Linked DNA regions of Tamandua tetradactyla. The main gene of each other region encodes a partner of the protein of the gene in region 3 in a complex. Links are inferred from orthologs where the notes say so. Each region holds a gene or a part of one and is shown on either strand. Other genes may lie near its edges.

The links.
Region 1: BNIP1 (region 3) and VAMP7 share a complex: the UniProt entries of both Homo sapiens proteins name them as parts of the SNARE complex. The link is inferred for Tamandua tetradactyla from reciprocal best matches to the Homo sapiens genes BNIP1 and VAMP7.
Region 2: BNIP1 (region 3) and BET1L share a complex: the UniProt entries of both Homo sapiens proteins name them as parts of the SNARE complex. The link is inferred for Tamandua tetradactyla from reciprocal best matches to the Homo sapiens genes BNIP1 and BET1L.

The regions. Positions count from the first base shown.
Region 1 is NC_135353.1:67,934-75,086, reverse strand, and holds the start of VAMP7 (vesicle-associated membrane protein 7), read left to right. Parts: upstream 1-4,060; 5' UTR 4,061-4,198; intron 4,199-7,153. UniProt on the Homo sapiens protein: Involved in the targeting and/or fusion of transport vesicles to their target membrane during transport of proteins from the early endosome to the lysosome. Required for heterotypic fusion of late endosomes with lysosomes and homotypic lysosomal fusion.
Region 2 is NC_135335.1:33,444-41,028, forward strand, and holds the start of BET1L (BET1-like protein), read right to left. Parts: upstream 3,055-7,585; 5' UTR 2,944-3,054; coding exon 2,925-2,943; intron 1,845-2,924; coding exon 1,753-1,844; intron 1,526-1,752; coding exon 1,469-1,525; intron 1,331-1,468; coding exon 1,163-1,330; 3' UTR 1-1,162. Other genes in the region: RIC8A (chaperone Ric-8A), read left to right, coding at 4,490-4,573, 4,767-4,814, 4,913-5,509, 5,942-6,030, 6,525-6,675. UniProt on the Homo sapiens protein: Vesicle SNARE required for targeting and fusion of retrograde transport vesicles with the Golgi complex. Required for the integrity of the Golgi complex.
Region 3 is NC_135346.1:54,590,170-54,597,502, forward strand, and holds the start of BNIP1 (vesicle transport protein SEC20), read left to right. Parts: upstream 1-4,288; 5' UTR 4,289-4,333; coding exon 4,334-4,417; exon of another isoform or gene 4,418-4,759; intron 4,760-7,333. UniProt on the Homo sapiens protein: As part of a SNARE complex may be involved in endoplasmic reticulum membranes fusion and be required for the maintenance of endoplasmic reticulum organization. Also plays a role in apoptosis.

The DNA.
Region 1 (7,153 bases), on a different chromosome or scaffold from region 3:
TGAGCATTCACTCTCTGCTAGGTTGAGGATGTATAGAAGTATGCATCCAGAAGCACTTTTCTTGGAAAATATTCACTTTTGCTAACTGTACATATTAATTTATTAGCAGGATAGATGGTGTATTACCATACTAAATAAAGCCAGATAATTTTTTTAAAACATACATCAGATCATATCACTTCCCTACTCGAACCTAATAATTTCCCATTACACTTAGAACAAAATCCAAACTCCTCCTGTTTCACAAATCCCTGCAAGACTCCCTAACTATCCCTCTGCCCCTATCTCCTCACTTCCACTCTTCTCCAGTGACACTGATCTTCTTTCTGTTCCTCAAATATATCAAGCTTCTTTCCACTTTACAATCTTTGTCCCAGCTCTCTCTGCTTGGGATTCTATTCCCTCTTGGCTTCTTGTAATTGAGAATTCAGTTTTAACGTCACCTGCTCAGAGAGGCCTTCTGTGGTTTTCCAACATAAAGGCTTGTACTAGAACCATAAATTTTGTAGCATGGATGAGATCATTTTAAGAAAAAGTATGGAGTAAGAAGAGGGCATTTGATAGAGCCTTGAAAGCTCTTAATGGAGTCATCATTTACCATCCACACAGCTAGTAACTCAGGTCTGTCTACTTTCAAAAGTTATTCTCTTTCAAAAATATTCTGTTGCTTCTCAAAGAAATGGTATCAAATAAAATTGAATTAATGTTAATATAAAGGTAAACCTTTGCAAAGGATGAATGGAGATGAAAAAGAAGCATAAGCTGTTCTGGAAAATGAAGAAGCAATATTTGGAATAGATTGGGAAGAATAATATTTTGACAGGGTAGGTAGCATGTTCAAAGGCAGTGAGGCATAAAAGTATGTGAAATTATTTAGTGCATTTCCAGTTGTACACAGGACAGTTGAGTATTGTTGTGTCTATTGTTTTTTATTTAGAGATAAGTGTGGTTTAATATGATGGGTATAGCTGCCAAGTTGACATGGGGTGGACTGTGATGGTCAGTGCATTTGTCAACTTGGCCAGGTAATGGCTCTCAGTAGTCTGGTCAAGCAAGCACTGACCTGTTACTGCAAGTATATTTTATGAACTTAAATCAGTAAGTTGATGGCATTTATGGCTGAATACACGTACAATCAACTAAAGGCAGTGTCTTCAGCAATGACAGACATTTAATCCAAACATTTGAAGGCTTTTAAAAGGAGAAGTGATGACTTCAGCAGTCAGAAGGGAGAATTTTTATCTCTACTTCAGTCAACCAGCCTCTACTGGGGAATTCAACAAAAACATTCATTAGAATTGCCAGCTTGCAGCCTGCCCTGCAGAATTTGGACTCATGCATCCTCACAATTGAGTGAGACACTTTTATAAAATTTTATAATGTTAACAGATATCTCCTGTTGGTTGTTTCCCTAGAGAACCCTGACTGATGCACTATCTTTGCAATTTTTCTGTAAATCTGAAATTATTCTAAAATAAAATGTATTTTAAAAAGTATGTAGTATTGAGTGTTAACTCCATGAAGGCAGGGGCATTTTCGTATTGTTCACTGTCATACCTCCAGCATCGAGAACAGGACCTTGCTCATAGTAGGCACTTAGCACATATTTGCTGAAGGAATGGATGAATGAATAAATGAATGCATGACACTATACAGGAAGAGGCTTGAATACAGGGTGTGTTGAAGAGAAAAGCAGAACATGAAGTCATACTCAATACAAAATTGAAGTGTATATGTAGATTCTTTGATCCTGAGACATATGTGTATAAATTGGTATTTTCCTGGAACTTTGAGTACTTCTGTGACACTTAAGATTCAGAGCTGTAGTTCTGCAGCTCTGAAATTCAGCATGGCTACATACAACTGTTTAACAACAGTTAAAGAAACCAAAAAAGAGATCAGGCATCCATTAAAGATGAGAATGAAGCTGATCTTGTTGGGACTAAGGTAAATCAGAATGCAGGGTAAACGATGATAGTGTTTGTACTCTAGAGCTTCACCTATTGTGTGAGACCAAAGGCAGAAATGTTTATTGGGTCTAGCACTTAAATTTTCTGTTACACACAATCTAATCAACCTGTCTGGATGGTTCATTTAGACAATCCAAACACATGGAGCCCAGAATGGGAACAAGGCCTTGTAATTCTGTATAGCTTAATGTAACACCTGGAGACATCCCAGAGAATGGTAGGTTGATAATTGAAAAGTATTGGTCGAGTCCCTTGAGAGACTGGACAAAAAAATATGGAAATATTAAATTTTCCCACCTGGGAACCCCCTGCTACTCTCTAGAACATTAGGCAGTCCCCCCCCCAGTATAGGCCAAGCCCTTGATTTTGAGACTTGTCTTTATAAAACTTATTTCTATAGTGAAGAAGCTAAGCCTACCCATAATTATGCCTAATAGTTACTTCCAGGAAATCTCTTTGGTTGCTCAAATGTGGCACCTCTCTCTCTCTCTCTCTCTCTCTCTCTCTCTGCCCAACTCTTCAAGGAAAATTATTACCTTCACCCCATAGGAGACATGACATTCAGGGGTGAAAGTCTCCCTGAAAACATGTGGCATGACTTCCAGGGTTGAGCCTGGCCCTGGTATGGAGGGATCGACAATGCCTTCTGGTCTAAAAGTGGGAAAAGAAATGTAGCAAAATAAGGTATCAGTGCCTAAAAGAGTTCAAATGGAGTTGAGAGGTATTCTGGAGACTACTCTTATGCAAGTTTCAGTTAGATATTGCTAATTACCAGGATTTGCAAAATTCCGACTAACATGATTCCTGCCAAACTTAAAGAACATCTAGGGCTCTATCTGAGATTCTACAAATGATCCATGCACTGGGTTTACTTTCCAGAAACTTACAACCTCCAGATGAGTTCCTAGGCCAGTTAAGTCTCGAGATGCAGAGGGGTCAGCTTTTACATCACATAATTCCATTTCCCTATCCCATATTGTCAAGACAGCCTTTCAACCTGAAAAAGTTAGAATGGGCAAAGCCCTAATATCCCTAAAGATTGTGAGAACAATCAAAGGAGAAGGAGTTATAGCAGAGAAGATAGAATTTAACAAACGAATATGACTGCTGAATCACTATAATGATATTTCTTTTAGCTTCCAGTGTTTTGGAGCTGCTAGAAGGAAAAAGCTGAAAATGTGGAACGGTAACCATACCAAATTCTGAAATCTGTTCTACAACTAATTGTTGTGGTGTTCTCTGAAATTTATTCCTTTTTAAATGTATATATGTTATATTTCACACTAAAAACCGTTTTTTTTAAAGCAAAAGCAAAACCAAAAACATTTTCTTTTTAAAGGGAGGCAATAATCCACAGTGTAAAAATCCTGCAGAGATGATGTAACATAATGGCTGAAAATGCCTATTGGTTTTAGCAACACTATTGAGAATTTTGGCTGGGAAGGAGAGGTGGGAGAAAGACCACTAGCTTAAGTCTGTGTGGTGAGGGCATTAGGGGAAGTTGGTTTGAGAAAGGTGACTGGAATTTTTTTAGATAAGAGAAATGCTGGCAATCTTTAAATGCTGATCATAAAGAGCGTGTAAGCAGGCAGCCGTTTAAGAGTCGGGAGACAGGGATTAAATGAGTTGGAAGGAGGAAATACGGATGTAAGGGGCGGTGTGTTTAAATCAAGAGTAGATTATTGTTGTTGCAAAAGAATGGGAGAAAGGAGAGGTGAAGGATACAAGGAGGTTGGGAAACAGTGGCGAAAGTAGAGGGAGTTCTTGTTAGATAAATGCTCTTCTGTCTGTGAAGTAGGCGACATTCTCCGCTGAAAGTAAACGAGGCTCCGGCGGGGCGAGCCAGCCTCTCATTTATCGCGCCAACGCCATTTGATAGACTCCTTCTGTCCTCCTGCAGCCGCTCATTTTCCCCTCTTGGCTCGGCGCTTGGTAAGCAGTTACGACAGAACTGTTGACCGAACGCCTGACAGACTCAGAGAGACGGAAGACGGAACTAACACTCCCAGAATGCAGTCCGGTTCTTGGGAAATGCAGGGGCAGGGAAAGCAGCAGGCCCTGCCCCGCTGACGACTCCCATTGGAAGAGAGCTCACATTCCCAGGAGGCTGCGCGCGGGCGGGGCGCTTCACACGGAAGTCGGCGGCATTGGGGTCTAGCCTCCCTCGGGAGCTCAAAGTTGGCTACCCCACGTCCAGAACCCGCGCTCTTGCAGAGGGCGCTGGACAGGTACGTAAAGGGTGCGCTCAGTAACAAAGTGGGGGACTAGACAGCAGAGGGGAAGGCGGGGGTGGCCAGGAAGGTACCGAAGTAGAGTGAGGAGGCAATGGGAGGGTGACTCGGAATTCTCTGAGGTCCACATTTCGAATTGTCGGGCAGATCCAGTTTGGATGAAGTGCGTTTTATGCCTGTGATAAATCCTCAGGTTAAAGAAAGCCATAATGTGTCACTTCATTTGTTGTTAACAGGAAGGAAAATGTTGACTTTGTCAGTTAGCATTCCCAGGACATCACCTTAGCATTTGAATCTCTTAATCACCTGAGTCTTTTAAAATCGCCTCTATGCCCTTGCTTCGGTGACGTCACTCTTCTGCTTCACCTTCTACTTCGGAAGTCTACTGCTCAGTAGTGGGTTCTAACCCTCTTCACGCCCCTCCTCCACCACCAAATGTTGACATTCATCTTCCTCTTCAGTTCAAATACGAACTCTGTATCTCTTGCCCAAATCGGCTTCCTGAGCGTCAGATGTGTTTGTTATTATTACTATTATTATTTTTAATGGTCAATATTTATCAAATTCTATATTCTAGACTCCTTGGTAAGTGGTTTACATATCCCTCTCTCAGAACCCCTATAAACAATTATCAAGACCTTTTCTTTCCGTCTTATTAATTGCTCTGAACTACCTGTACTTCCATTTTCCCACCCTTAATCCCAGAAGATGCTGTCATGTTTGGGGCATTCTTTCTCATTTGAATACATTTGGCTTGGAGCAGATTCATTCATTCGTTTAATAAATGTTTATTGAACAGCGCATATACACCACAGAGTTTTCTAAGTGCTAGGGATATATTTGTAAATAAGACAAAAGAGGTCAGTGCTCTCCAGAGCTTCCGTATTTTGGGGACAGGGGCGTGGGGGGGGTACAAAAAGGAATAAACAAGATGATATGGTGGTTAATGCAAAATAAAACAGACGGTTTATTTTACAGAGTGGGATCCTGTCCTAACAGAGGGATTAGCTTGAGTCTTAGAGCATCACCCTAGAAGAATATTTGTGATACACACAGTACCTGATCTGTGATCAGGCTTCAGACTTTTCATAAATGTCCTTTCTTTTCTTTTGTCTATCATATTATAGCAATATTTGTTTTTCATTCTTCTGTCTCCTCCAAGGTTGTTATTTCAGAATTGGTGGTTTATTTCTCATTGGTTTATTTCCTCCTAAGACCCAGAAAGAAGAGTTAGGGTTTGATTACTATCAGCTCAACTTCTTTATTTTAGAGAGATAGTTTGGTAATCAAAATATTCTTCTTTCCAGGGCCTAGTGACTATAAATCTATCATTTACAAGTATATTTAACCACAGGCTCAGTATTCACTCATTTATTCAATATATATTTGAGAGAATATTTATACTGTGCACTGTACTGAGCACTGAGAACATTGTGAGGGTAAAGTAGACATTTTAACCTCTCTTCCAAGGAAAAGTAATCATAATAATATACTGAGGGAATGCCTAATGAATAGGCTGATATCTGCATTCCTTTTTCTTCATCCAAGGTGAGATAATCACAAAACTTTCATTGTGTACATTCTTAGATTATTCACTTATTTCAATTTATTGCATTTATTTATATCTGTCTTCCCCATCCCATTGTACTGTGGAACTTGTGAGTATAGGGGTCTTTTCTTACTTATCTGTATATCTCCAGTGTCTTCTACATTGGCTGCCATAGAGTAAAATCTTCAGTACGTATGTGTTGAACTGAAATAGACTCCATTTGATTAAATCCAAATTACTTAATTTATACAAAGCCTCTGTCAGCCTTATCCACTAACCTTCACATTCACTGAATGTGGACCATTCTATCTCATCAAGCAGTTTCTTCACCTTTTCTAGCTTGTTCTCACCTCGGTGCTTTCTCTTGTTCCATAGCTTCCTCCTAAAATTAGTTCCTTCTCTTTCCTGGGTACCCTTTCTCAACTCCACCCCCCACCCCCCGTTACGTTGATGGGCCAATTAATATAATTATATACCCCATAATATAAGAATGAAAAAAAACTTCCCATTGTGTATTTCCTATGAAACATTCTGCTAATGAATTGTTGCAAGAATTCACATAATAAATCCGTTTGCAATAATATAAATGATGATGCAGAATACTTTCTTTTGATTTTTGTGTTGAATGTATTACCATGTATTATAAATTAATTATTCCACTTCATTTCTGTATTTGAACTGTTGCACAACCTTTGTTCGTGAAGCACATTATGGCATCATTTGATTTCCACTTGGTATAAGCATTTCTTTGAGTATTATTTTCTCCTTAGCCTAAGATAATTTATATATTAATGTGATTATACCACACTGTCATTTTCAGAGTATCAGGTAAAAGTCTCAATTCTTAAAATAATCTTATTCCACGCAGCTATTTTTCAATTGTCAATCAGTACTGCAAAAAATAAATTTTGTCTGTAACTGATTTTGAAAAACATAGTAGGAATGCATGAGTGCTTGAATTGTAATTGTTATTATGGTTTTAGGATGCCAACCTAAGAGCAGCTAGACTTGCTTCCAAGACATTAAAAATTAAGCACCATCACTTTAAAGGGTTTCTTGGCACCTATACCTTCACAGACATGAATGCATAGGCGGCACTGACTTGTGTGCCATTACTCATTTATGAGATATGTATATAGATGGTCCAGAATATACTTATACATCTTTAATACTAACAAAATAACAATACATAATTGAAAAATTCCTCAGAACACATGGACTCCAGTGTGAAAAATGTTGGCTTGGTCTTTTCCCTTACTCTGTTCTCTGATGCTGTCTTCAACTTTTGCTTGAATGCCTCCACTGAGGAGAAGTGTGCATCACTACTGTGCTTTTTTGTTACTGTCTCTTAAATACAGGAAACTCCTTACTTATAAATGAATATATTCCAGAAGTTCCTTCAT
Region 2 (7,585 bases), on a different chromosome or scaffold from region 3:
GGAAGTGAGTTCGCAGGGCTGAAGGCTGCATCGAGGCTGTGGGAGCTGACTGCAGCAGGCTATGGCAGACAGCCGGTTTAGGTTTCAGAGACAAAGCCTTCTAAGCTGGACAAACTCAGAAAGAGGCCTTGCAAGTGGGTGAACTGTGAGTCAGGGCCTCACAGAGTGGCCAGGAAGGCAGAAGATGAATCAGATAGGACAGGGGAGGGTCCCAAGCTCAATGGCTTGGTCTTAAAGGCATTGGGTCTGACCTGTCCAGGGTTGGTGTGATGGTGGAGAGAGTACGCAGTGGGAAATGAGGGCCCAGGGAGGGCGGTGGCTCAGAGATACATGCACTCAGGAGGAAGGGTCCCTCACAGTGGGAGGAAGGGCAGGGTTTGGTGGAAGAATAAGTTAACCACACATGGCTGGCAACCCCTACAGGTGACAGAGGCAGCAGTGTCCTGTGAAAAGCAGGTGGAAGGCCTCACCCATACTCAGCCACTCCTGGAGGTCTGGTCTCGTGGAACCCATCTGCAAGGCTGGGTAAATGCACACCCTGAGTGTGAATTCCTGCTCTGAACAAGCCCAGAAGCGCTTAGGGCTCAGAGCCTCTGTATCCACAGGCCCCAGGGTTTGGCTCCAGCTGCCCTCTGTCTACCCCAAGGAGGGAAATGAGCGTGAGCACAGAGGGTACTGGGGGAGGAGCTGGCCTGCATTGGTGTGACCTTGCCCAGGCAGCCTTGGCCAAGAGCAGCTGCTGTTGGAGAGGGTGGGCCAAAGAGATAGCGCTGTTTCAGGTTTGAAGGTAGAGTCACTTTTCATGCCAGCCTCATGCTGCACAAATCACACACATGGCCTTGCTCAGAGGAAACGGTAGAGGAACCTTGAGACGCCTGAGGGCTGGGAGAGGGGCTGCCAGCACAGTGCTATGTGTCTTCAGGCTCCAACCAGGGACTGGAGGACGCTGGGCCTCCTTTCCCCAGGGAAAGTGTCCCTTCCGTGGATGGGACCAGCCAACAGATGCTCATGTCCAGAACAGGAAGAAGACCTCTGACCCACAATCGTAAATTCAAAGGAATGTTGTAGGGAAGTGCTCCGGAGCCCAGGAGCCCAGGTGGGGCACAGGGTGGCCCTGGCTGGCCCCAGCACCCGCAGTGGCAGCTCGCCCACCCCCGCTCGCTCACGTCCGCGCCCTGGACAACAGGTAGGAGAGGATGAAGAAGGCCACAATCAGGGCCACAGCCACACTGCACAGAAGCTTCCGGTTGTCTCGCCCAGACCGTGCCATTGTGGAGAAGCGCTTCACACTCCCAGTGAGCAGACCCGTCATGCTCATGAAATCTGAGTCCTGAGGGAGGAATCCCAGTACTGTTACACGCGCTGGCACCTCCACACCCACCTCTGCTGGTGCCCAAGAACAGTGCCCGACCCCAGATGGTGTGGGCCCAAGCTCAGCAGGGCACCCTAGAGCTTCAAAGGCTCTTACCATGCCATCCAGGTACCGGTTCTGGTCTTCTGCATCCCTATCAATGTCCAGGGCAAGCTGGCCAGGGCACAGAGAGGGCAGGTTCAGGCCAGGCCAGACATGGGGCAGCACCCTTCCTCCCCCAGGACCAGCCAGAACAAACGCCACCCTCACCAAACACGAAGGTCAGAAAATGCCCCCCAGGCCTCAAGTAGCCAGCAAGGAGAATGGAAAGCAGCCTGGAGCCCCCCAAGCTGCACCCTCCTGGGGGTCCTGCTCCCAAGAGAAAGGAGACCGCCACAGACCGATTTGAGCCTGGTGACCTTGGAGGCCAGGTTGTCGGCCATCCGCTTGTTGTCCCGGTCCAGAATCTCCTCCACGACACCGGGGCTCTGAGCTGTAGAGACAGGCTGAAGTTGTGCATCCACCCATGAGCACAATCCCTGACCCTCAGACCACAGAAAGTTGGCCCTTTGTGGCCTCAACCCCATCTGCCTCAGTCTGAAGTCTGGGCAGGGGTGGGGGCTGGGTCTCCACCTGTAACCCGCTGGGCAGGGACAGGTTTGTGGCCCTTGTGTTTGTGCAACAGTAAACAACCACGTGGGAGCATGTCCCCTGTACACATGCAGGATGTGTGGCTTGCCCTCTGGGGTGTACCCCAACAGGTTCAGCCCATCCGGCACGCCAAGCCAGACAGGACTAATCCCAGGGAGGCAGTGAGACGCAGTACCTGCCTGCAGCAAGGTTACCATGCATGTACCTCCCGCCTGTCCTGGGGAGGGCCCAGGGAAGAGCACTAGCTCAAGGAGGACAGCCGCGAGGGCTGTGTGGGCGTAACCTGTGACCTGGTCCTGAAAAAGTAACCGATAACCAAGGGCAGGACATCGGGGAGGCCCTTCTATACGGAGAAAAGGAAGCGAGCAAAGTTCCCTAACCAAAATGTGGGCAGGGTCCAGCCCCGAGGGCAGGGCCTAGGTTTGCTCACCTATGTCCCCACAGCACCTCCCAGAACAACGAGGGCACGGTGCGAGACCCGCCCGGTAACTCCGGCCAACCCCATTCCCCGCTGCACACCCGAACTGGACCAGTGGCGTGAATGTATCACATTCGGTGGGTGAGACTCGCCCTCCACGGGGCCGATACCCTGAGAGTCCGAGGCCTTAGGAATCTCTGACTCGTACAGACCCGGAAGGAAGGGGCGGCTGCGGAAAGGCGCCCCGTTGTGCCAGGCATTGTGCCACGCACCCCGCCAACGCCTTCGCGTCCGTTCCCTCCTTCAGTCGTCACGACAGCCCAGGAGAGCGGGAGCGGCACCCGGCCGGACCCTCCCAGGCCTCCGGCGGCGAGGGGGGACGCAGCCACGTATCCTCGGCGGGGCGCTGACTGGGGGCTGTCCCCTCCCGCCGACGGGCGCCCGGGGTCGGATCCAACCCCGGCCCGTCCCGTCCCCCGGACCCCCGGCCCACCCCGCGCTCACCCCGAGCCCAGTCCGCCATCGCGTCCAGCGCCGCCGAGGACGTGGCGCGGGGTCGCGGGGTCACGGCGTCGCAGGGTCACGGGGAGGGACTTCCGGCCCCGCCCCTTCTGCCGCCGCGGGCGCGGAGGGACTGAGGAGTCCGACGTTTGTTTCATTGTCAGTGGACCCGGGACGACCTGGACCCCGCACTTGGGAGCCCTTGCGCCATTCGCTTTAACGTCGAAATGTCTTTTCTCTCGGTTATTCAGGCGAGGTTAGGTCCTAAGAAGTGGGAGGAGCGCCAGCGCCTTTGCCGGGGCGCGGTGTTGGCGCACGAGTTCGCCGCCCCACTCGGCCTCGAGTGACCTGGGGAATTTAACCTTCGTGCATTTTAGTTCCCGAGTCTGTAAGGCGGTTTCCTCGTTTGAACTTAGACCATTGCCTGGAACAAGTAAACCTGAATAAGTGCTTTAAAAATAAAATGCAGATAAGTAACAGTGAACCAAGGAAAAGGGTTTGGGGAAGGGGCAGCGGAGACAGTAGGAACCAGTGTTTCCTGCTTTTGAATCCTGGTACCAAGGGCCTGGCATGACAGATGTGTGATAAAAGAACAGAGAGGTGGGTGAGTAGTTTGTATTTATGAATTACTCACCGCTACGAGGTATCTTCTGTGTGTCAGTTACGAGTGCCTGTAATCCTCAGTGCAACCCCTTGAAGTGGACACTTTCCCCTCTGCTTTACAGAAGAGGACACGAACTCTGAGCTAGAGCGCGTTTCAGGGTTTCACAGCTCGGAAGTCGCTGCACTTACTCCGGCCCTGCGTTCACCCCCGACCTCTGCCAACCGAGCCGTTCCTTCTGCCTGGAGTGGCCTCCCCCAAGTCTTTTCACGGTCCCCTATCGTGAGCATCAGGTCTCATCAGAAGTAGCACTTCCCTAGAGCCTTCTGCCGACCCCCCGCAATTGGGGACAACAGCAGCCTGTTGTTTTTAAAACCACAACGCTTAGGACCACGCAGAGTCGTCTTGTCTGTCTTTCCTTGTCCGTCTTCCCCTCTGGAACCAGCTCCAGGACGGCAGGGTCTTCCTGACCCGCGTCCCCAGCGCCTCGCCTGCAGCAGGCGCTCCACGACGCCGGTTTAGTAAACCAAAGGCTCTGAGACCGCAAAGCCCTCTCCGCTGGCGCTTTCCTCCTCCATCCCACTCATTCTGTGGATAAAGATGGGGGGATCGGGAGAGTTCTCCTTTTGAAATTCCGGCCCAAGAAGCGCACGAGGGAGGGGTCACGGTTTGGCCAAGGGGTGACTTGGGCCCCAAGCCGGCGGGTCCCGGAGTCGGGGCTTCAACGCCAGCGCCGTTCCGGGTCCACCTTAAACCGCGCACCTTAAGCGGCGCGCGGCCTCGCCCCGCCCCCCGCGCGTGCCGGCCCCGCCCCGCCCCGTCCCGGCCTCCCCCGCGCGCCGGACGCGGGCTGCCCGAGGCAGGGCGGGGCCGCGCGCGGGCTGGACTCGGGCTGGACTTGGGCCCCGCCGCGGCGCGACGTCCCCCCTGGCTCGCGGCCGGAGCCTTCGGGCGTCCTGGGGGCGCCATGGAGCCCCGGGCGGTTGCCGACGCCGTGGAGACGGGGGAGGAGGACGTGATCGTGCAGGCTCTGCGGACCTACAACCGGGAGGTGAGCGCAGGCGGCGGACGTGGGACGTGCATGGGGCGGCGAGGGGCGCGGGACGGTGCCCGGGGTGCACGCGGCGGGGACAGGTGCGCGGCGGGGCGCGTGCAGGCCCCGCCTGGGTCAGGCAGCCCCCCCAGTGCGCGGCCCCGCCCTGTCCGGGGTCTGCGCTCCGAGAACCCTCCCGGTGTCTTTGCAGAACTCCCAGAGCTTCACGTTCGACGAGGCTCAGCTGGACGACAGGAAGGTGGGTGGCAGCGGTAAAGGGCAGGGGCCGGGGGTCCTAGGAGGCGCCGTGGGGAGGGTGTTGGGGCTCCGGGCAGCCGCCCTTTCATCTGCTCACAGAAACTGGCGGAGCTGCTCGTCTCGGCCCTGGAGCAGGGCTTGCCGCCCTCCCACCGCGTCACCTGGCTGCAGAGTGTCCGCATCTTGTCCCGGGACCGCAGCTGCCTGGACCGGTTCACCAGCCGCCAGAGCCTGCAGGCCCTGGCCCGCCATGCCGGCATCTCAGCCCCCGAGGGCTCCGCCCTCAAGGCCCCGGGTGCGGATATGGACGTCGTGCTGGAGTCCCTCAAGTGCCTGTGCAACCTTGTGCTCAGCAGCCCCTTGGCGCAGCAGCTGGCAGCCGAGGCCGGCGTGGTGGTGAGGCTCGCCGAGCGCGTGCGGCTCTCCCGGGAGAGGAGCGTCCCACATGATGTCCAGTTCTTTGACCTGCGGCTCCTCTTCCTGCTCACGGCTCTGCGCACCGACGTGCGCCAGCAGCTGTTTGAGGAGCTACAGGGGGTGCGCCTGCTGACTGACACGCTGGAGCTGACCCTCGGGGCAGACCCCGAAGACTGCGCCCCTGAGTGCCTCCCGCACCAGGAGACTGAGCGGGCCATGGAGGTCCTCAAGGTGCTTTTCAACATCACCTTTGACACCACCAAGAGGGAGGCAGACCAGGTGAGGCCCGAATCCTAGGCCCCGCGACATGCCAGGAACCTAAACGGATCTGGCGTCAGGCATAGAGAGGTTAGGGGAGGCCAAGGAGGGGCTCCCTCCCAGGAGAGAGGCATCTGAGGGAGATAGCTGTTCCTGGGTCTGGAGGTCCAGGTGCCACAGGGTGTGTGGTGTGATGGCAGGCTGAAGGAAACAGCCACTGCAGAACCGTGGGTGTGGACATCTGCAGCCACAGAGTCTTCAGGAAAATGGCACTGGTCGGTCAGCCTCACCACCCAGCAGGGTCGTTTAGGAGAGTACAAAGGCAGCTGTGTGGCAGTCAGAGCCACTGGTTCTCTGGACCTGCAGCCTTGTGTTGGAGGAGGGGCAGGGTGGTAGAGCATGCCTTCAGCTGGCAGCAGCCGCCTTCAGGGATCTGCTCTTCTCTCTGGTCAGGACACTGCCCTTTACCGACACCTGGGCACCCTTCTGCGGCGCTGTGTGATGGTGGCTGCTGCTGGAGACCGGACTGAGGAGTTCCAGGGGTGAGGGCAAGGCTCTGGGCTGGGAGCTGTGTGTGGGGTGGGGGGAGCTCTGTACTTGGCCATGTCTGGCTGGGAGGGGGCCTGTTGTGGGATTGGGGTGCTTCTCAGTCTTGGGTATAAATAAGAACCACCTGGGAGCCCCATTTCCCTTCTTGGAGTCTGAGTTCGCTCCTCTGATGGGACTAGCAAAGTTATTCATAACACCCAAGACCAAAAGCTGTCAGTCTGGCAGAAGGGCATGCCAGCCTGGACCTTGGTGTCAGCAGATCAAGATTGTCACTTGCCGCCATTCTCCATGACCTACTTCCCAGAGAATGTCCATGGCGTGAGGCAGCCAGCCCAGACAGAGGGGTGGGACAGGCAGGGCTTCTCCTGCTTAGCAGGAACAGGGGACCTGGCTGGTGCTGCCCTCTGGCCCCCTGACACTGGCTCACATCGCATGTGGCCCAGCAGGGCAGGCACCTGCCCACCCTCACCTGCACCCCGGTCTGCAGCCACACAGTCAATCTCCTGGGGAATCTGCCTCTCAAGTGTCTGGACGTCCTGCTCCCCCCGGGGCTGCACGAGGGCTCCCTCGAGTTCATGGGAGTGAACATGGATGTGGTTCGTGTGCTCCTGGGCTTCCTGGAGAAGCGCCTGGACCAGGTGGGTAGGCGACCGCGGGACCCTGGCCTTTCTGTGCCGCGGCTCCGTCGTGGTCCTCCCCGCAAAGCTTGCACACCCTTCCTCTTGAAGCCTTCTGTTCTGATGACTGCAAGGATGCAGATGGCAAAACAGCCTGTTTTCAGAGTCTCACGAGTACTCGTACTTGTGCTTTAGACCTTTGGGGCGATACCTTGGGAGCTCCTGGGAAGGCCCCAGTCCCTGCTTGAGTTCCTCAGACTTGTAGATTCGCTGTGTACAGGCAGCTAACCCATCCATGGCTCCTACTTACAAACATCAGTGTCCTTGGCTGCCGTCTCCCACCTCTCCCCAGTATCCCTGGAACCACAGGAATCTCTGGGCAGGCCTGACAGGTCGAGTCCCTGCTGCAGATGAGGATGGGCACATCCTCATCCCACCCCCTGCATGGCACATGGCACTGGAACAGGTGCCCTTTGTCCTTGCTGCTACGGCTGCTGGTTTGTGGCCAGAGAAGTGACTGGAGGTACTGGGAGGAAAGGGAGTTTTGCTGTCTGTCAACAAAGCCCATAGCTCTGAGGCACCCCTGGCCAAGGGGCGAGTGGAAAAGCTCTTCCTCGGTCTGAAACATCTCAGGAACTGCCTTCTTCCTGTTTTCTATTTATAAATAAAGCATTTAAATGACTGTTTGAAATCAACTAAGACATTACTTTAAAAAAATGAGAAAAATCAGGAACATAGATGTTTTCATAAAAGATTAAAAATCCACATGAAGGGCAATGCAGATCCTTTGGGCAGCAGAGTAGTTAGTGTCTGGCCGAGAGGTGCATCCGCGTGTCCCTGGGGATCACAGCCACCTGCTCTCGGCCCCTCATCTCACTAACGGCAGCTGCGTGCTGGGAGGGGCAGGGCTGGGCGGCTGCCAGGTGATGGT
Region 3 (7,333 bases):
GTTTATACTTATTTCTCTTTGAGGGTTTGGGCAAGTGATTTCTCTTGGAGGAAAATAAAATATTTTGGGTCTCCTGATTTAAACTTTTGTATGTGTTTGTTTAATAATTCAAAATAAGGCCCCGAGCTAGGCCAGGCATATGTATAAAGTCTTCCAGCAGGGAACCTGAGTGAATACCACTGTAGCAGTATGTAATCCTTCAGCTAACATTTGTTTAGCACTTACTGTGCCAGGATTTGTGCTGGGTACCTGAATACAGAGTTTATAGCGCCCTCCAGGAACTCTTTCTGCTGAAGGAGATGGCATGTGAACAGGACTGCAGAACAATACAAGAGCTGCCACACATATGCCAAGGGCTGTAGAATTACTGTAGCGGAGGTGTTTTCAAAGATACAGGTACTATATCCAGTTGCCAATCTTGTGTTCTTGATGTTCCTGGATCCCTGTAGAAGCCCTTTTGGCTTCATGTGCATGGGGGTCATCAGGAAGCAAAGTGGACGTGGCCTCCCATGGTCTGGTTCTACTTCAGGCCTCTCAGGGCCACTCACAGGATCCTCTGCTGTGGTCCTGGGAACTTTAAGGTTAGTATAGTGCCTAGAAATGGCACTTCAACGTGTACTGCCTTCCTAGATGGGTCATTCAGTTGTTTCTTTTCACTGCTAGTGATCTCAGAGCCATATGAACTCTTTAGTCTCAGCCCAGTTAAAAGGTTCCGAATAAGGGTGGTGCAGCGGTGGCTCAGTGGCAGAATTCTTGCCTGCCATGCTGGAGACCTGGTTTCAATTCCTGGTGCCTGCCTGTACAAAAGAAAAAAAAAGGTTCAGAATAGGAAGATGTTAGAAAACTCTGGGCTCTAGGGGTGACATTCTTTAAGACCCCCATAGCTGCTTGCCCATCAGAAGCCTCAGCTGCTACTGTCAACAGCCCAGTGAGGCAGGTAGTCACATCCATTTTAACCACAGGAATCAGATTAGACTTGGAGGAGGTCACTTGCCCCAGACCCAGCTAATATGATATAGAGCCCCAACTCAAACTCCAGTCTGAAATAACTCGTATCTAAAGCACTAGACTAAGTCACAGACGATATTTTAAAGTTAGGAGGATGAATCTGAAAACCAGAAGGAACTAAAGCCAAAGCCTAGCAAAAGTTTTAACTAAAGTCTCAGGAATGAGTGGATAAAGATGACAGTGGGGCAGGTGGGGGACGGGTGGGGGGGGAGAAAACATTGGGAGTAGTCAGTGATTGAGGGTGTTGGTCACAAGATGGCACACCTCTTCTGCAAAGATGGCCTTGAGAAGGAGGACTTAAAATTGAGTCTCTTTGTTAGGTGGGAGCTGTTTTCTTAATCTTTAGTTGCTGCCTAGAGATGCAATTTGGGAACTATTGCTGGCATTAGGAGTTTAGAGCAAAAAATATGATGTGAAAGGGGTCCAAGGTCATGTGGGGAGATCCTCACCTTGCAGGCTTTCAGGCTTCTCTGCTGTTTTAATAGGGAGCTTCCATTTGGGATCCAAAATATTGAAGTGGCCTGAAGAATGTTAACCTCAGTTTCCTCAAAAGGTTTGAATCTTAACATCACCAGGAATAAAGTTAGCAGAAAATGTACAAGGTCTCGATAAAGAAATATTTAAGATACTATAAAGGACTCAGAAGGAGACTTGAATAAATGGGACGATATGCCAAGTTCTTCAGCAGAAGCAGTCAGCATCATAAAGCTGTCAGTCCTCCTAAGTGAGATAAAAAATGTAGTGTCACCCCAATGACACATTCTAGTAGGGTCTGAAAAGCAAAACTAAAGTTCCTGTGGGGTGGGGAGAGGGGAGTAGCTGGAAGTTGCTGGGACAAAAAAAAAGTGAGGGGGATGTTTAGTCCTACCAGATATTTAAACATAAAAGTATAATTAAAACAGTGTAATGTTGGTGCATGAGAGAATAGATAGGAGAATAAAACAGAATGGAAAATTTAGAAATAGGCTCAAATATATATGAAAATTTAGTATAGTAAACGTGGCATTCAGAACCAGTGAGAAAAAGATGGATTCTTCAGTAAATAGTATGGGTCACATTTTCACATCTTTTTTTAAGCTCATAATTATGAAAGAAATATGTATATGGAGCTTGGGGAAATAAAAATAGACTTTTATTAGTATTGGTAATAAACCTTCATTATAAAAAAAATAGTATGGGAATAACTCGATAACATCAAGGAAAAGTAAAATTGGATCTGTATACTTCACAAAACAAGCCAATATATATTTCAAAATGGATTAAAAGCTAAATGTTAAAAGGAAAAAACGAAACCATAAAAACATTACAAAGAAATGTGGGAGGATTCCTTTAAACCTCCAGGGTTAGGGAAGGCCTTTCTAACTTGGACCCCAAATCCAGAAGCCATAAATGTAGATAAGTAAATTCCACTACGTAAAACAAAAACACTTTTTTACTTTTTTGTTTTAAAACCAGTTTATGGTTTTAAACCAGTTTATGGTCAAAGTAAAACCAGTTTATGGTCAAAAGCACTGTCAACCAAGTCAATATTCTGTAGACTAAGAAAAAAGCTTCGCAACATCTCTAAAGGATAGCCTCCTAATACATGAAGAGTTCCTGGAAATTAATATGAAAAAGGCCAAAAACCCAATAGAAAAGCAGACAAAAGATAAATAATAGCTTTTAAACATAGGGAAAAGGCCTCAACCTCAATCATTATAGGAGAAATGCAAATCAAAAGATGCATTTTTCACTTAATTCACATGTTGGTTAACACACCATGTGGGAAAACAGGCATTTCTACTAGCACTTCACTGGTAGGAGTGTAAATTGATACTACCCTGATGCAGAACAATTTGGTAGCATGTATCGGATTTTTAAAATGCATATGTTCTTTGACCTGGCAAGTTTTATTTGCTCTGTGGCTTTGGGCAACTTATTATGCATTTTTGTCCTTTACCTTATCTGTAAAATGTGTAAAGTCTATAAAAGCTCTACCTCATGGAGTTACAGTGAGGGTTACCAGGAGATGATACACATAAAGTACTTAGTACTCAGAGCCTGGCTGAGTAGAAAGTACTAGAAAAAAAAAGTCATCTAGTAATATAATAATAGGAGCTAACATGCTTGCATCTCTTATACCAGGCAAATGCAGTGGTGCTTTTTTTCATGTTATCTCAATCATCAAACCTACCCTGTGAAGTAATTGCTAGGGTTATCACCACTGAGGAAACTGAGGCACAGAGGAATGTGAGTGGGCAATGCCCAGGCCTACTTTACACTGCTTCCTTTAGGTGCAGTGAGGTGATGAAGGGCTCCCCTTAAGGGAGGGCTGTGCCCAGAGCTGAAGGAGCACGGTGGACCAGCACGAAGCCTGGTTTGCACAGCCCTACCCAAGCAGCCATATGTGATTTTGAGCAAAGCTGTGGCTTTTGGTGAAGACCCTGCCACTTTCAATTCGGGTAACCTTGCAGCAGGTTTCTAATCTACTCTTAGCCAATTCTAGGCATTCTAGGAAGAGGATACCATGTTCCAAGGCTTCAGGTCCAAAAAGAGCTTGAGGAATCCAGGAATGGGGGATAGGGTGATGGCCGTCAGCCTTGAGGGCTCGCTAAGAAACCTGGACTATTTAGTAATAATAAAAATAAAATGTGAGTGCCACTATTTGTTGAGGGCCTGCTCTTACAATATTTTGCTAAATCCATCAAAACTACTCCAGTGAGGTCGATTTAATAAATCCAATCGTACGCAAAAGGGAACGTCAGGAACCACAGAAGGGAAGTGCCTCGATCAGTTCTGCGTTTTAGAAAGACCCCTCGAGCTGTGGGTTGGAAAAACAAGAGGTACACGAATGAAGTGCCTTGAATTCCACACATTAATAAAAGAATAACGTTTATCATTTTCTTTTACGTACTCTACAATTTATACTCACTGTAGAACGTGTGAAAAGTACAAAAAAATTTTAAGAAATATAAGCAATTATTCGTTCCCCCCCCAGGCCATCCTAATTGATATTTTTCTTTCAGTTTTTTAGTTTTCCTAAGCCAGCAGTATGTAGTCCCTCTTCCCTTCCTCTCTATCTTATTTTGGTCATTGCAAGAGATGAGGCTGGTTTTCCCCAGATGTCGGGCGACGTCTTAGTTCCTGGGCGAACCGCTCAGGATTCTGCGCTGGACGTTCCCGCGCCCACCTCGGTTTCTCACCCCGCCCTTACCGTTCCGCGCGGAGTCCCCGGCTCGGCTCAAGCCGCTCTCTAGGGGGCGCTGCCGCAAGGGGAGGGAGAGAAGGCGGTGCCAAACGCGTTTATATTTGGCCACTATCAACGCCCGTAGCCCGCGTCCCGAACATGGCGGCTCCTCAAGATGTCCACGTCCGGATCTGTAATCAAGAGATTGTCAAATACGACCTGGAGGTGAAGGCGCTTATCCAGGTACTAATTCCCGGGAACCCTGCTGGGCTCCAGCCACCCAAGCTCCGCGGGCCTCCTGGGGGTTTGGCGGTCTCAGCCCTGAACTGTTAACACTTGGTCTAATCTCCGAGGCCTTTGGCCCCGCCCCGTGGTCGTCTACCCTCTTGTGGTCCAGTCCCCGTGACAGTTGGCCTTAATCTTGCATCCGGGTACCGCTGATTCGCCCTCTTTCCTGCCACCCCTAAGACTCCTTCTTCTGACGCAGTCACTTCTGTGTACCCTGCCTCAACATCCCTTTTGAAACCCCCGTTTGGTCCCTTCCACGTCTTCCCTGATAGTTGCCCCGCCCCTGAACACCTCACAACACACCTGTCACTCTGTTATTCCCTCTAGCTGCTAGGCCCCGCCTCCCGGTGCCCGCCTCCATCCTCCACTTCTTAGGGTCCGGGAGGCTATTAGCGCCGCCCCCTGCCGGCCTGCCTTGCTGGGTCTGGTGCCCCGTGATCCCGAAGCGCACTTGACAAGGGACATGCCGGATGAAATGAGTGTAGCCTGGACCCAAGATGTGATTTTTTTAAAGGAGGAAATTGAGTAAAGCGCTAAGGCCTGAATCAGAAGGCAGATAGTGTCAAAACTGGGATCCGGACAGGGAAAATCATCCTATGGAAGGATCTTGAGAGTCTCCTCCCCTCTATTTAGTAAATGGGGAAATTGAGGGATTTTGCCTTAAGCCAGAATCAGGGTTCTTTTTTTTAAATTTTTTAAAAACTTTTTTATTGTGTAATATAACATATATACAAAACAAAGAAAGAAAAAAGCAGTCGTTTTCAAAGCACTCTTCAACAAGTAGTTACAGGACAGATTCCAGAGTTTTTCATGAGCTACCATACGATCCTCTCATATTTTTCCTTCTAGCTGCTCCAGAATATAGGAGGCTACAGGGCTTAAGTTTTTTTAATCATCACAATTGACTTTTTTTCCCTCTGTTTTTTTTTGGTGAAAAATAATGTATGTAAAAAAAGCTATAGATTTCAAAGCACAGCTCCACAATTAGTTGTAGAACATATTTCAGAGTTTGACATGGGTTGCAATTCCACAATTTTAGGTTTTTACTTATAGCTAGCTGCTCTAAAATACTGGAGACTAAAAGAGACATCAATTTAATGATTCAGCATTCATATTCATTTGTTAAATCCTATTGTCTCTGTAAAACTCCACCATCACCATTGATCTTTCCATCCCTTTCTTTAGGGGTGGGTAGGACATGACAATTCTAAATTTTTCATATTGGAAGAGTCTGTCACTAATATGGGGTAGGGAGATGGAACTATCTGATGTTCTGGAGAGGCTGGGCTAGGTTTCAGTACTTATCTGGACCCATCTGGAGGCTGTAGGTTTCTGGAAAGTTACCCTAGTGCATGGAACCTTTGTAGAATTTTATATATTGCCCTAGGTGTTCTTTAGGATTGGTTGAAATGGTTTTGGTTAGGGTATGGCAAGTTATGATAGGTAGCAATGTCTAACTGAAGCTTGCGTAAGAGTGACCTTCAGAGTAGCCTCTTGACTCTATTTAAACTCTCCCAGCCACTGATAATTTATTAATTGCACTTCTTTTCCCCCTTTTGGTCAGGATGGAATTGTTGATCTCATGGTGCCAGGGCTGGACTCATCCCTGGAAGTCATCTCCCATGTCACCAGGGAGACTTTCATCCCTGAATGCCATGTCCCACGTAGGGGGAGGGCAATGATTTCACTTGCAGAGTTGGGCTTAGAGAGAGTGAGGCCACATCTAAGCAACAAAAGAGGTCCTCCAGAAGTACCTCTTAGCCATGCCTATAAGTAGTTGAAGCTTTTCTTCTACCTACATAAGCTTCACAAGAGTAAGCCTCAGGATCAAGGGCATGACCTATTGATTTGGGTGTCCCTAAAGTTTGACACAGTATCAGGGGATTCCATGATGGTAATGTTTAATAGTTCTATAGAATCAGGGCTCTTAAACTCCCATTTAAAAAGGCAGTGGTGCAATAAATCAGTCAACATAGGCAAGAGTTGGGAATGTGGGAATGGTTCCATAAGTTTAGCAAAAAAACCAAGGGTTTTTTTGTTTTTGTTTGTTTATTTGTTTGTTTGCATGGGCAGTCACCAGGAACCAAAACCAAGGGTTTTAAGCCTTAATTTTAAGCAAACCATTTTCCTTTGCAACAAATGTCATCGAATATTAGATGTAAGCTCTGAATTTGCAACGAGCTGTGACAAAAGTAATGGAAAATAGAGCTTCCCCAGTAGACCAGATACAGAATAAACCAAATTAGTGGTTTAACACGCGGTGCAAGGAAATGTGGTTTAATGACTAAACTAAGGAAAAAAGTGAGGAAACCATGCAGACGCTTGAACTTCGTAAATGTTACTTCTCCCATGTGTAAACTGCAAACTTCTGAGCAATCTTAGAAAAATAAATTTAGGGTTCATACAAATGAAATTACCTTTTGACATCATTCAATTGCTCTGTTTTATACTCTCTTAACATTTGGGTTCCTGTGGTAGCTAATGAGAAAGATTGATTATAGTTAGATGTATTACACTATTACAGTGTTCCTGTCACTCTACTAACTGCTTCACATATGTACATAATCTCTGAGGTCCTTAATGTAATGAGGAAGCTGACAAGTTCAACTCCTGGACCATGCATCCAAAAAAAAAGGGAAGATATCTGTAAATACTTTGATTCCTCATAGATAGTTTATAAAATCAAACTGAAGGAAGTTAATCTTTTCATGTGATGCCAGAAATTTGAGCATCATGGTTTTCAAGTTGGAAAAGTCTAAAATTGTTTTTTTTTTATTGACAAGTCTTCACACACATACAGTCCATACATGGTATACAATCAGTGGCTCACAATATCATCACGTAGTTGTGTATTCATCACCATAGTCATTT